Linked DNA regions of Drosophila melanogaster. The protein of the gene in region 3 interacts with the protein of the main gene of each other region in a pairwise test. Each region holds a gene or a part of one and is shown on either strand. Other genes may lie near its edges.

Region 1 (3,656 bases), about 11 Mb from region 3:
ATCGACTGGTCACGGGGTAAAAACTTCATTTGATAAATGAAAACAATGCTAATTTGCCACTTTGTTGCAGTTCCAATCAAGTTGCCACATTTGCGCTTCTTTCGGTGTGCCACGATGTTTACCGTAGCCTGCAGGACAGCATGTAAGTGGCCTAATCCCAGCCAGAAACTTTTCTGATTTGCCTTGCCATCCAATTCATAGATCGAAACTGGTTTCCGAGCTAGGGCAGATATCCGCCCAAGTAACTGACTTCGAGATTGAGTGCCTGCACCTATGTAATGAGCAGCAGCAAACCAAAACACCTGCAGCATTGACAGAATTCAGAAATTTCCTGGAGGAATCGCTGAAACTGCTGCAGAACCAGGTTAAATACCTAGAGCTTCATCTTAGTCAGCTGCAACCCAAGTTTTCCGCACCCGAATCCTCGTTGGAGTCCTTCAAATCCGATCTCCAACTGCCGGAACCTGCAGAAGCACGCATTACCCTTGGATTGGCCAAAATAGAGAGACTGTCCAGTTTTCCGCTGACTTTGTAGGGAAAATTAGGCTTAAGGAATATAGAAACATATGCACCTCAGTGGTTTTAAACCATAATTTGCTATACAATGTTTTATATATTAACTAACTGAGCTATTGACTTTTATTATAAAAATGTTACGTATATTTTCTGTGCAGCTCCAGCAGTTCAAATATTTAAACTATTTTTTATACAAAAAATACTGTGCATTCATTAACATTGATTGTCAAATCTGAAATGTGATTGGGCTATATAATCACTCGGCTGGCCTCTCTTTGAAATATCTTTTCGTGGACGAAAAAATAAAACATTTTTTTTAAGATGTTAACGTGTCCAGAACTTCTGATCATTGTGTTTAACAGAAAAACTTTGCGTTTATAAGGAAATCAACGAAACGTGTTTTTAGCAACTGGAGAATTTCGTCTGTATTTTCTTTGTTGATTTCCGAGAAGGCAAGGGTTTCTGCTAAATGCAAATACATATTGTTAAAGGAAGTCGCTTGAAGACCACATTCCATTGTCAATTTTCACTGGGCACTCAAAAAAAACACAGAAACAAAAAAGGTAATGAAACCAAAACACAGGCTTGATTGGTTTTCTTTTCGTACAAAGGCGGTCCAATGCTCTCGAGATTTATTTAAAACACATTTTTGCTGATTTTCTGGCGAATTAGGTGTGTATTTTCATTTGTTTATAACGAATATGCAGCAGCCTCGTTCGGATTTCTTGCCATCCGCTTCTTCTTCTCCGCGAAAAAAACAAGGCGCGTGCGAAAAACAGTTTTGTGTATGTGTGTGTAAAAAGGTCTGCGGAATAAATAGAAGGTGTGTTAAGACGTGTGTTCACTGTGGCCAATATTCCAGGTGCGCTTACCTTCTCGAGTTTGGTCGCCAATTAGCGCAGCCTCCTGGCTTCACGTTCGGATTCCAAAAGGGTCAGGATGTCGCCCTCGCGAACTGGTCCCTTCACGTTTCGGATAATCTGGCGGTTCTGCTCGCCCAGGAACTCGACCTTCACCTGGGTACACTGACCCTGGGAGCCGGTGCGGCCCAGAACCTTCATGACGCGTGCCCACACAACTGGTTTGTCCATGTTAGATCGCTAAAAATGCTAAATTCGCAGAGAATTCACGTGCAAGATGCGCTTCAATTGACAGCCGCAAGCAAAAAGGAAGTTGAGCGGTTATCGGCACAGCGACGTGAAGTTGGCTGCGTTGCGCAGGCCAATCGATAGCTGCGATTAACGGCCCCGCTCACTATCGATTGCGCTTGAGTGGCTAGAAAATAGCGAAAAAAATTATTTTACTACTCGAAAAAGTAGTTTTTACCCTCCGTATGCCTTGTTTTTTTAAATGGTTCGTGTTCCAAAAATTAGTATTTATATTTAATTGCATTTTTCCTAAATCTTTAAGCGAACTTTTATTGTTCACACAATAACAATAGAAAATTGTGTTCATATATCTATTATTGATTTTTTAAAAATTTTTCCAATTTGTATTGCTACATTTAAATTTGACCATTCAATTTTGTTTTATAATATTTCTGGTATACAGACAATGTTATATTAATAATGTCAACATAATATTTTCTAGCAGAAAAAATAGCCAGATAATAGCGGTGTAATAGCCAAGTTGGCAGCACGATGGCCGAACAGTGCTGTAAAATATTTGTAGCATTTTTACCTCCGTCAAAAAATGATATTTGGTATAAAAAATAAATATATTTTGAATTTTATAATTGCATAAAATATTATGTTGACCAAAATATTGCTTTTAAATGATAAACATGAAAAAACACGAGGAATGACAGTTGCGGCGTTTGGCATCACTACTTGTCTCGCTAGAGTTGTCGGTGCACTCAAATGTCAACAAAATAAGCCAAGATCTAATATTATTGATTATTTTAGATATGAGAAAATGTTTTTAACTATAATCAAATGAATGTTTTATGTATGACTAGGCAGAATGCCTATCCTGAGTAAGCTAAATAGCTAAAAACTGAGTAATTGACCTACGGATCGAGAGGCCCTTGCAACCCTAGACGTGGCACCACGTAGACATTTGTCAGTGAAAGTCGTGTCTCGGCTTCGTGCCCACTTCGTGCATTGTCGGCTTCTGTTTTCGCCGCTATACCACCGAAGCCCGTCACTTCTTCATTTTCACTCGATCGGGAAGGTTGTGTGTGCGTGCGTTTTTCCCTCAGCCGATTTCCCAGCCAAATTTCCGTGTGTGCGCCGCGCATTCGATTGCATTTGGAGCCCCGACGACATTATAAAACAGCCAACAAGATGAGGCATCTGATGTTCCTAATGCTGATGGTCCTGCCCATCGTCATCTGCACCTTCTCGGCGCGTAAGTAGAGTCTCTTACCCTCGCCGATAAATAACAATCGCTCGGTGGGCGGGGGTGTTCCCATCCGTATACGTGGCATTTTGCCGACGCATCTGCTACGTGGATTATGCTTTATGGGACTGCCAATCAATGCACACCGTATACTAACATCGTAATTCAGTGATTTTCATTCATCTTTGGTGGTCGAATTTTTATCATACGGTCAAAACTGTTGAGTTGGCATGAGGCCTATCGACCTCTCGCTCTGACTCGTGAGTTGGCTCGTCTGAGATGTCTATGAATTCGTTTAGTTACCAAGATCAAAGCTTCAAACTGAGCACAAGGGTGTTTTTTTTTTAAGGATACTCGATATATATCCTAGTTTCACATTGATCGGCTGGCCATATCCCAAATTTGCAGACAGGCGCAGAGCTAGTTTGCTAGGTTGTGAACTATAAATCAAGTATAAAGTACCCAAATGCAAGCCAAATGACCCCGTTACAATAGCTATTAAAATAGGTGTAACTGTAACTATAACCTGCGAAGAAAACCAATCTAAATATATCATATCTCTGATTAGTTTCAAAGAGTAGTATGCGAAGGTAGTTCCGTGTACTTGAACCCAAGGACTTAATATGTCTTCAATTCTTCAGCACTCACCATAACAAAACTCTCTCTTTAATTTACAGCCAACAAGTTTGGAGCCTATGCCGCCGAGGCCGTGGAGGACGACCTGGTGGACGTGGAGGGCGAGGAGGGTGCCGTTACTGGCGAGGATGCAGAAGCGGACGAGGATAGCGACACGGGCAGCA
Region 2 (3,791 bases), on a different chromosome or scaffold from region 3:
AAGTGACACAAACCACAACGCCAGAGCTCTCAGCTTGGAGCTGGCTTATGGCTCTCAGGATGGGGCAGATCCCGCCGGCTGCCAGCTCCTTTTGACTCTCGCAAATTTCGCCCAACATCGCATATTTCAGTTGTCATTTTTGCTGTTTTGTCAGTTTTGCGTGTGACACAACTGGCGACTCGGGGGTAGAAAGTGGGTGGCGGAGAAGGTCCTGGCGCCTCCCATCTGTGTGTCCATTGCAACGGCATTTCCGCTGGCAGGCGACGCAGCTGCGGTGGCAACTGCCACAAACAATTTTGACATTGCCGAGCAGAATTGCGAAGAGCAAGCCCCGAGCTGAGATGCCACCACCATTGCCCCGAGCAGGATGCGCAAGGATATTGTGAAATCAACGTGATTACGGGACATTAACATGCATGCTCCAACAAGCAGGAACAATTCAGGGGAAAGTTCAGAGCTCAGATGTGGGACGTGAGTAAGGGTGCAACATTATCTCTTGCCTTATGGAAAACTGTGATTATCTCATAATACGGAAAAAACCAAAGGACTGACCACTTAAATTTGCTAATCTAATAATATATATTTATTGACTTGAATCGAAAAATTATAATATTTGTTAGTTCTAAACGTTGAAATTTTTCAGCTTTGTTGCACTGCACCATAAACGAGTAGCAACTATTTGCTAGGCGAATACCAAGGGTCCTCCTTGACCTGCGGAATATTGTACCTGATCTTCACCGGTGCTAGAATATGCATAATCATGTGCTTGCACTCGCTGGAAGCTGATGGGGATTTGGGGAAGACCAGCGATTGATTGATGCGCTTGAGCAGGATGTGCACATTGGAGCCATCGTAGGGAAGGCGTCCAAAGACCATCGCATAGCAGACGACGCCGCAGGCCCAGATGTCCGACATGAAAGGATCATAGGCGACGCCTCCAATTATATTGATATTAGAGCATTAAATTACGTTAAAGATACGCGACTCACCCTTGAGGATCTCTGGACTGGCGTAGGCATAGCTGCCGCAGAAGGTTTTCGAGAGTATCACTTGGTTGTCGGAGGTTCGGGTATCCTTCCTTGCGAACCCGAAGTCGATCAGTTTCAGATTCCAGTTCTCATCCAGCAGCAGATTCTCGCACTTAATATCCCGATGCACCACTCCCTTGCTGTGGATGTACTCCACGGCACTCACCAGCTGCTTGAATAGCGTACGTGACTGCGGCTCGTCCAGAAACTTTCGCTCACGAACGTAGTCCAGAAGCGTTCCATTCTCGGCCAGCTGCATTATCAAGTACACCCTGGGTGCATCAAGAATAGTTCATATTAGCATTATTCTATACCATCAAGAGTGACTCACCTATGACTGGTCTCGATACTCTGATAGAAAGTTATCAGATTTTCGTGGTGCAGACCCTTCACCGCCTCGATCTCTCGCGGCAGGAACTTTTGCGTGTACTCGGAGGGAGCCTTCACTTTGGATATGATCTTGACAGCCACCCGCTTTCCGTACTCCTCGGAGAAGCCAATCTTCACCTTGGCATAGTTTCCGGTGCCAATAACCTTACCGAGTATGATGCCATGCTCCTCAAGAATGGTTTTCTGCGGCTTCGACTTGTCGTCGGCCTTTACCGGAACGACTCCGGATGGTGCCGGTGGCTTTGGTTGTGGTGGCCGGTCACTGAAGGTGTAGACCTTCTGCTCCTGACGACGACCCGAGTTCTGGTCAGTGACGAGGTCCTGCGATGAGCTAGCGCCAATTACTAGCGGAAATCGCATGGTGCTTTTAATAAACACAATTTTAAGCGATTTGAGCACTTACCTCCGCCTTGATCGTTTTTTCTTCTGGGAGATGTCGCCATTAAAAAGGGTACCACAAGTACGGTTCACCAACGACGCCAATAATACGGGAATATCGTGATCAAACAAAGACTCATTAAATATTTATCATATTAGGAAACTAGAAATTTTGCGAATTTTTCTCCAATACTGTGACATACAATGAAAATATATATTTATACGTTACTACAAATTATTTTCCATTTTTGATTAGAGTATCTAAGATCAGAATTTCGATTACAAAAATTTACTTTATAAGAAGAAGACGAACTCTATATACCAAATAAGCAAGCAAAACCTGTAAATAATAAATAATAACTAAAATAGTGGCGTAATATTGTAATGATATCACGATTATATTGATTGGTAGACGTGAAAGGCGAAAACAAACTCATTTCGATAATAGCATAAAGAAATAAATATATTTTACATCCATAAAAAAGTATTTTTTTTTAAATTGATCCTGTCAACGCGAACCAGTTCCTTTGCCTTTCCGCATGAGTTGGCAGCACCCTCCCTGCTTTTCCGTTACTTTGACAACGGTCAACTGCCAAAACAACGAAACCAAAAAATTTGACCGAATGCCAGTCAACTGAATAAGCCAGTGATAAAAACTGACTAAGAAGCCGACTAATATAAAGTTCAGAGTTGATGAATTGATGGCGGAGGTGCACATAATCGGGCAGATATTGAAAGCTGTTGACTTTGCCGAGCCGCATCTGTACTGCAAGTGGAGTCTGCAGAGCGGTGAGTTTCCCCCACGCAGCAGATACACCTGTCCGGAATTCAATTAACCTAATTGCTTGCCCGCTCGGTAGGAAACGCCTGGCGCCTGGTTCAGGGCGAGGTTCAGGGTCAGAGCCACGTGGCGTCCCACCGGCTCCAGAGCAGCTCGGATTTCGCGCAGCCGCTGGACATTCATCTGAGCACCGCATCTGTCCAGGGCTGGCCCCGCCTGCTAGTGGAAGTGTACGCCGTTAACGTACTGCAACAGTCCTGGCCCGTTGGCTACGGCTTTGTGCACGTACCGTCCACACCAGGCACCCATCGCCTGGAGATCGGCACCTGGAAGGTTGCTCCCAACGGCTTGTGGCAGTCGCTGCGTGAGCGTTTCGGAGGCGGAGGAGCGGCCCTCAGCAAGACGGATCTGCTCTACTCGGGTGTTGAGCGGTGAGTTAAGGAAACCTCTTTACACTTGGTTGACTATTTAGTAAATATTTCTCGCACAGTTACAAGTTACAAACTCTGAGTTCTGGAAAGGTCATTGTTGAGCTAAACCTAATCTTTCGAAAGTTCGACGAATACGGCGTGGAGTTCAAGTAGCCATGAAGGAAGTGTTGCCACTAGTCGTCCTGTGCCTGGCCACATACCACACACACTCCATTAAAATTGGAATCTCGCACAATTACAATGCCACAATATCGCCAACGGCGTCCACTACAACGGAAGCCCCAGCCACGACCGGTGCTCCGAGCAGCGAAACTGTCAGCTCCATCAGCACGCTGCCGGAGGCGGAGGTGACCACCACTACGCCTGCAATCACTTTTCCACCGCGTGTCCAACAGAAGCCCAAGGTGGCTGTGGCATCTCCAACCATGTCGACGGCGCTACCTTTGAACTCTACTGAAGTGAACTCCACCCTGTCCGTATCCGGAGACAATACATTTTACTACTGCTCCTGTGATCTTCAGGCAGGCAGATGCGATCTCAACTGCTGCTGCGACAACGATTGTCCTCTGGAAACCCGCCAAGTGTTCAATTGCCTGCCGAATTCGTTGCTCCCGCAGCTTGAATCGCGCCTGGAGGATTTCCAGTACACCCACGGCTTGCCCACCTGCCAGATCAACGATGGTTGGCTGTGCGTCTTTCGCAGCAACACAAAAGCAACAAAGACGCAGCCGCCGGATATGAATATCGATACCTCGCAGTACAGAAAATGGAAGGATAACTTGG
Region 3 (3,595 bases):
AAGCATCGAGTTAGTTAGTTTGCCGCCACAAGTCCCCTTGGCCCCTCTCCACAACACCCCTGTTCACAATTTCTGCGGTCTTGTTAGTCTGGGCTGGCAAGTTGGTTAAAAAGTTGTTGATGCAGTTACTCCTCCTTCTGCCCGCCACGCCCCCTTTTGCGACGACATTTGTGCTAATGGCTGCCAACGACCTGGACAGCAAAACCGAACAGCCCTTGTCCCCCTCTTTTACGACGCCCCTGCCCCACATGGCAAACATGTTGCATACGCTGCGGCGTAAGCGAAAAATTTCCAGCGAACAGCTTTTTGGCCAAGCAAACACACAGCGGGTTAAGTGGGCGAGTTTGCCACAACATTTGTGTTCAAGAATAATTAAATTAAGCTGTCAGTCTGACCGAGAAAATTGCAAATACACTCAACATTATGATGCACTTTCAAATGTACACATACCATACATACAAGTTTGAACTCAAAGGGCCGATTTAATGGCAGTTCGAAACTATTATTTATTTTATTTTATTATCGACTAAACAATTAATTATTTAAACCTATTGAACGATGTAAATGGCACTTTCAAACTAATTTGTCATCGCATTAATTAATAACAATTTAATTTTAGTTCTAATAAGGAATTTGATCTTTACTGATACAATTTTGATGAAAATTTACAAGATTGCATATGTTGAATTGCTTATGAGATATGGTATTTCGTCCAAGTACAAAGTGATCCAAAATAATTTAAAAAAACTTGAAACAATTTTTAGGTACAGTATCAAAGTAATGCAAATAATTTTGAAAAATCATTCCAAAAATCATTGTGATAGACTGCGTTTAGTTCGCTTGAGGCCCTTCTGAGTTCCCAATAAATACCTCCTCCTTGGAGGTATTCTCCTTTTCCGCAAGTTCTATTTCGATGTCGTCTTCGCGAAAGGTGCCCTCATTAGGATTAGGCGATATGGGCCCCACTCTACCCTCATCCTCTAGAATGGTGAACTGTAGGTCGACGTCCAGCGTGTAGTCTTCAGTGTGCTCCTTCATTTCGCGATGTGTGAATCGCATAAAATGCGGACTGTCCGAAAGCAGATCGCAATTCTTCAGGGTCTCCGAGCCTTGACAGGTCTGAATCATCTGCCGACGTGGCACTCCCGGAGTGTTTTCTCCGATATTCACGGATACCAACAAAGGCGTCTGGGCCTGGGGACAGCACAGCCACAGAATATAGATATGGGTCACTCGCGGTCCGACGGGCATCGAGTCCCAGGAAGTCTTCCACAGCATTATCAGGACGGGCAATTGGCACTCCCAGTCCTTGTAGATATTGGGTAGATTTAAGTTCCTGGTCGCGTTGTTGCCACTCTCGTAGATCATCAGACCCACACAGTTGCTTTTGCCCCTGTCCTCGGGCAAGGATTTTCCACACAGCTTCAGAACCTTTGGCTCCTTGGGCTTCATTTCCATTGTAATAATGTGCTCGTGGTGCATCAGGCAGTGACTTAGGAGCTGCTCAGGATTGAACATCAAGTCGCAATTGCTCAGCGGACAAGCCATGTCCAGCTTCTGCAATCTCCAGTATTTGCGCACCTCGACTGCAGTATTTCTCAGCCGCTCATAGCGAATTTCCGGAGAACTGATTCTGCCATGTGGGGAAGCGGAAATGGCTTCTGCGCCGCCGCGCATGGGCACTCTTCCGCCCGCCGGAAGAGACAGCTTGCAGTCCATATACAAGCGCCTACGGTGATCGGGCATCAAGCTGGTGAAGCAGATCTCCACCTCCTCATCGGTATCATTACCATCGTTCTCGTTCTCCAGACGACATGCACTCGCCATCACAGCTTCCGGCGTGGTGTCCAGGGAGTACTCCGACTGAGCGAGATCCAGGACGGCAGATATACCAATGCCAGACTCGGAGCACCTACAGAATGCACCGGATGTCGATGGTTGCTCGCCCTCGCAATTGTTGTTCTCCATTTAGGAATTTTTAAGAAAATGTCGGTTTTTTTTTTTTGTGATTATAATTCTGTGTGAGTCGAACTGTTGACGTCTCGACGTAAAATTATACTGATGACAGAAGGTTAGAACAAATGAAATCAACTTTTGATTACTTATTTCACAAACTACTTGTTTATTTTTTTTTTCTAACGGTTTCAAGTTAATATTATGTGATTCTTTTAATGAGTTCCATGACGGAGTCACGAGCGTGGAATTATCGTCTTTAGAAGAGATTCCTAGACTGCAACTGAGACAATGCTATCAAAACTCTGGAGAACATTTTGTTGCATTTGTAATTTCCGGTTTCGCACACACATGCATACATAGTTGAAAAAGAAAATGCGAAAGAAAAATGTGTCAACATACAAGACAAAGCAAAACACAAACAAAACTCAAGTTGCCTCTGTAGAACAACGAAATGCAACTAGGGGTAAAAAGGGGGGAGGGGGAATCGCTTCCAAGGGAGAGGGCAACAGTCGGACTAGGACTGCAAACTCCCTGTGGCCACCCCCCTCCCACGCCACTACTTTCGTCCACCTCCCACTGGCAACTCCTTTAGTTTCAAATCGACAATGGAATGAACCGCCGCAGAGGAAGTGCGGTCTATTGCAGTAAAATCGGAGTTCAATCAACATATGTCAAGACCTTCAATAAATTTAAAAGATTATGACTGATTAAATCAAAACAAATTTTAAACCAATTTCATAAACCAATTTCATAATAACACTGATTATTTGGATAGCTTTTGTTAATTTATTCACTGTAATATGTATTAGATATTTAAAAACTTCTGTATAGCAAGTGTATATTTAAATTGATTCCGATTGTAATTTATTTAAGCTAATGAGGACAAGATGCATGAAGAGATAAAAACATAAATGAAGAACGTTATTTCAATTAATAAGTATTTTTTGGGACCTTTTATACATTTATGTCGCGCAACTTGGTAACAATAATAAAAACGAGCTGAGTCACGTGCTCGCGCCGTTTGTTTATGGCTTTCTCCCTTTTACTTCGCTTTTACTTCATTAGTTTCGAGGGGAAAACTCCACCTCTCTTTCCTTAGCCATGCTCCCTGGGTTTTCCGCTCTTCCCACTTGGTATCGCTTTTCCTTTTCGAGCTTTTGAGCTGCAATTGTCAGCTTACAGTGCAGCCAACCGCAAATGGCAAACAGGCCAAAGCCGCTGTATCTCTAGATTCGATGATATCTTTAAGACGGATTTTCATTGCTTACCGTTTGCTTTAATTGAGTTTTTACAATTTGATATCTACCTAAAAGGAAAGTAGCCTTCTTCATCATAAGCAACCCTCACCTGAAACAAATAAGAAAACATTTTTGTCAGCGAATCAGCATTCAAGAAGTGCTTGTATTAAGAACCAACAAGGAAAGGATTTTAAAAGGTCAATTGAAGAAAATTCAACTTTGAGCTCGCACATTTGCACGCACACAGACCCCCGGGATGCAGTGGGGTTAAGCGAAGGGTTCATAAGGCACATATCCACACATAAAGATTTCCATTTCCCTGCTGCTGTCTTGACAACAACCCAGACAACAATGTGTAAAACAATTGTGCTCGCAGTTAATTTGTGTGGTACGACAATCTA

The links.
Region 1: the proteins of CG1314 (region 3) and RpS28b interact in a two-hybrid assay, tested with the Drosophila melanogaster proteins (one large-scale study listed by BioGRID).
Region 2: the proteins of CG1314 (region 3) and CG9222 interact in a two-hybrid assay, tested with the Drosophila melanogaster proteins (one large-scale study listed by BioGRID).

Annotation. Positions count from the first base shown.
Region 1 is NC_004354.4:9,552,661-9,556,316, reverse strand, and holds RpS28b (ribosomal protein S28b), read right to left. Parts: upstream 1,695-3,656; 5' UTR 1,608-1,694; coding exon 1,410-1,607; 3' UTR 1,389-1,409; intron 1,322-1,388; 3' UTR 656-1,321; downstream 1-655. Other genes in the region: CG15317 (uncharacterized protein), read left to right, coding at 1-16, 71-142, 202-535; l(1)G0320 (lethal (1) G0320), read left to right, coding at 2,802-2,865, 3,534-3,656.
Region 2 is NT_033779.5:6,129,257-6,133,047, reverse strand, and holds CG9222 (uncharacterized protein), read right to left. Parts: upstream 2,026-3,791; 5' UTR 1,862-2,025; coding exon 1,822-1,861; intron 1,763-1,821; coding exon 1,360-1,762; intron 1,301-1,359; coding exon 990-1,300; intron 936-989; coding exon 676-935; 3' UTR 564-675; downstream 1-563. Other genes in the region: B9d2, read left to right, coding at 2,498-2,585, 2,657-3,008, 3,068-3,161; tctn (tectonic), read left to right, coding at 3,164-3,791.
Region 3 is NC_004354.4:20,867,372-20,870,966, forward strand, and holds CG1314 (uncharacterized protein), read right to left. Parts: upstream 2,027-3,595; 5' UTR 1,969-2,026; coding exon 832-1,968; 3' UTR 618-831; downstream 1-617.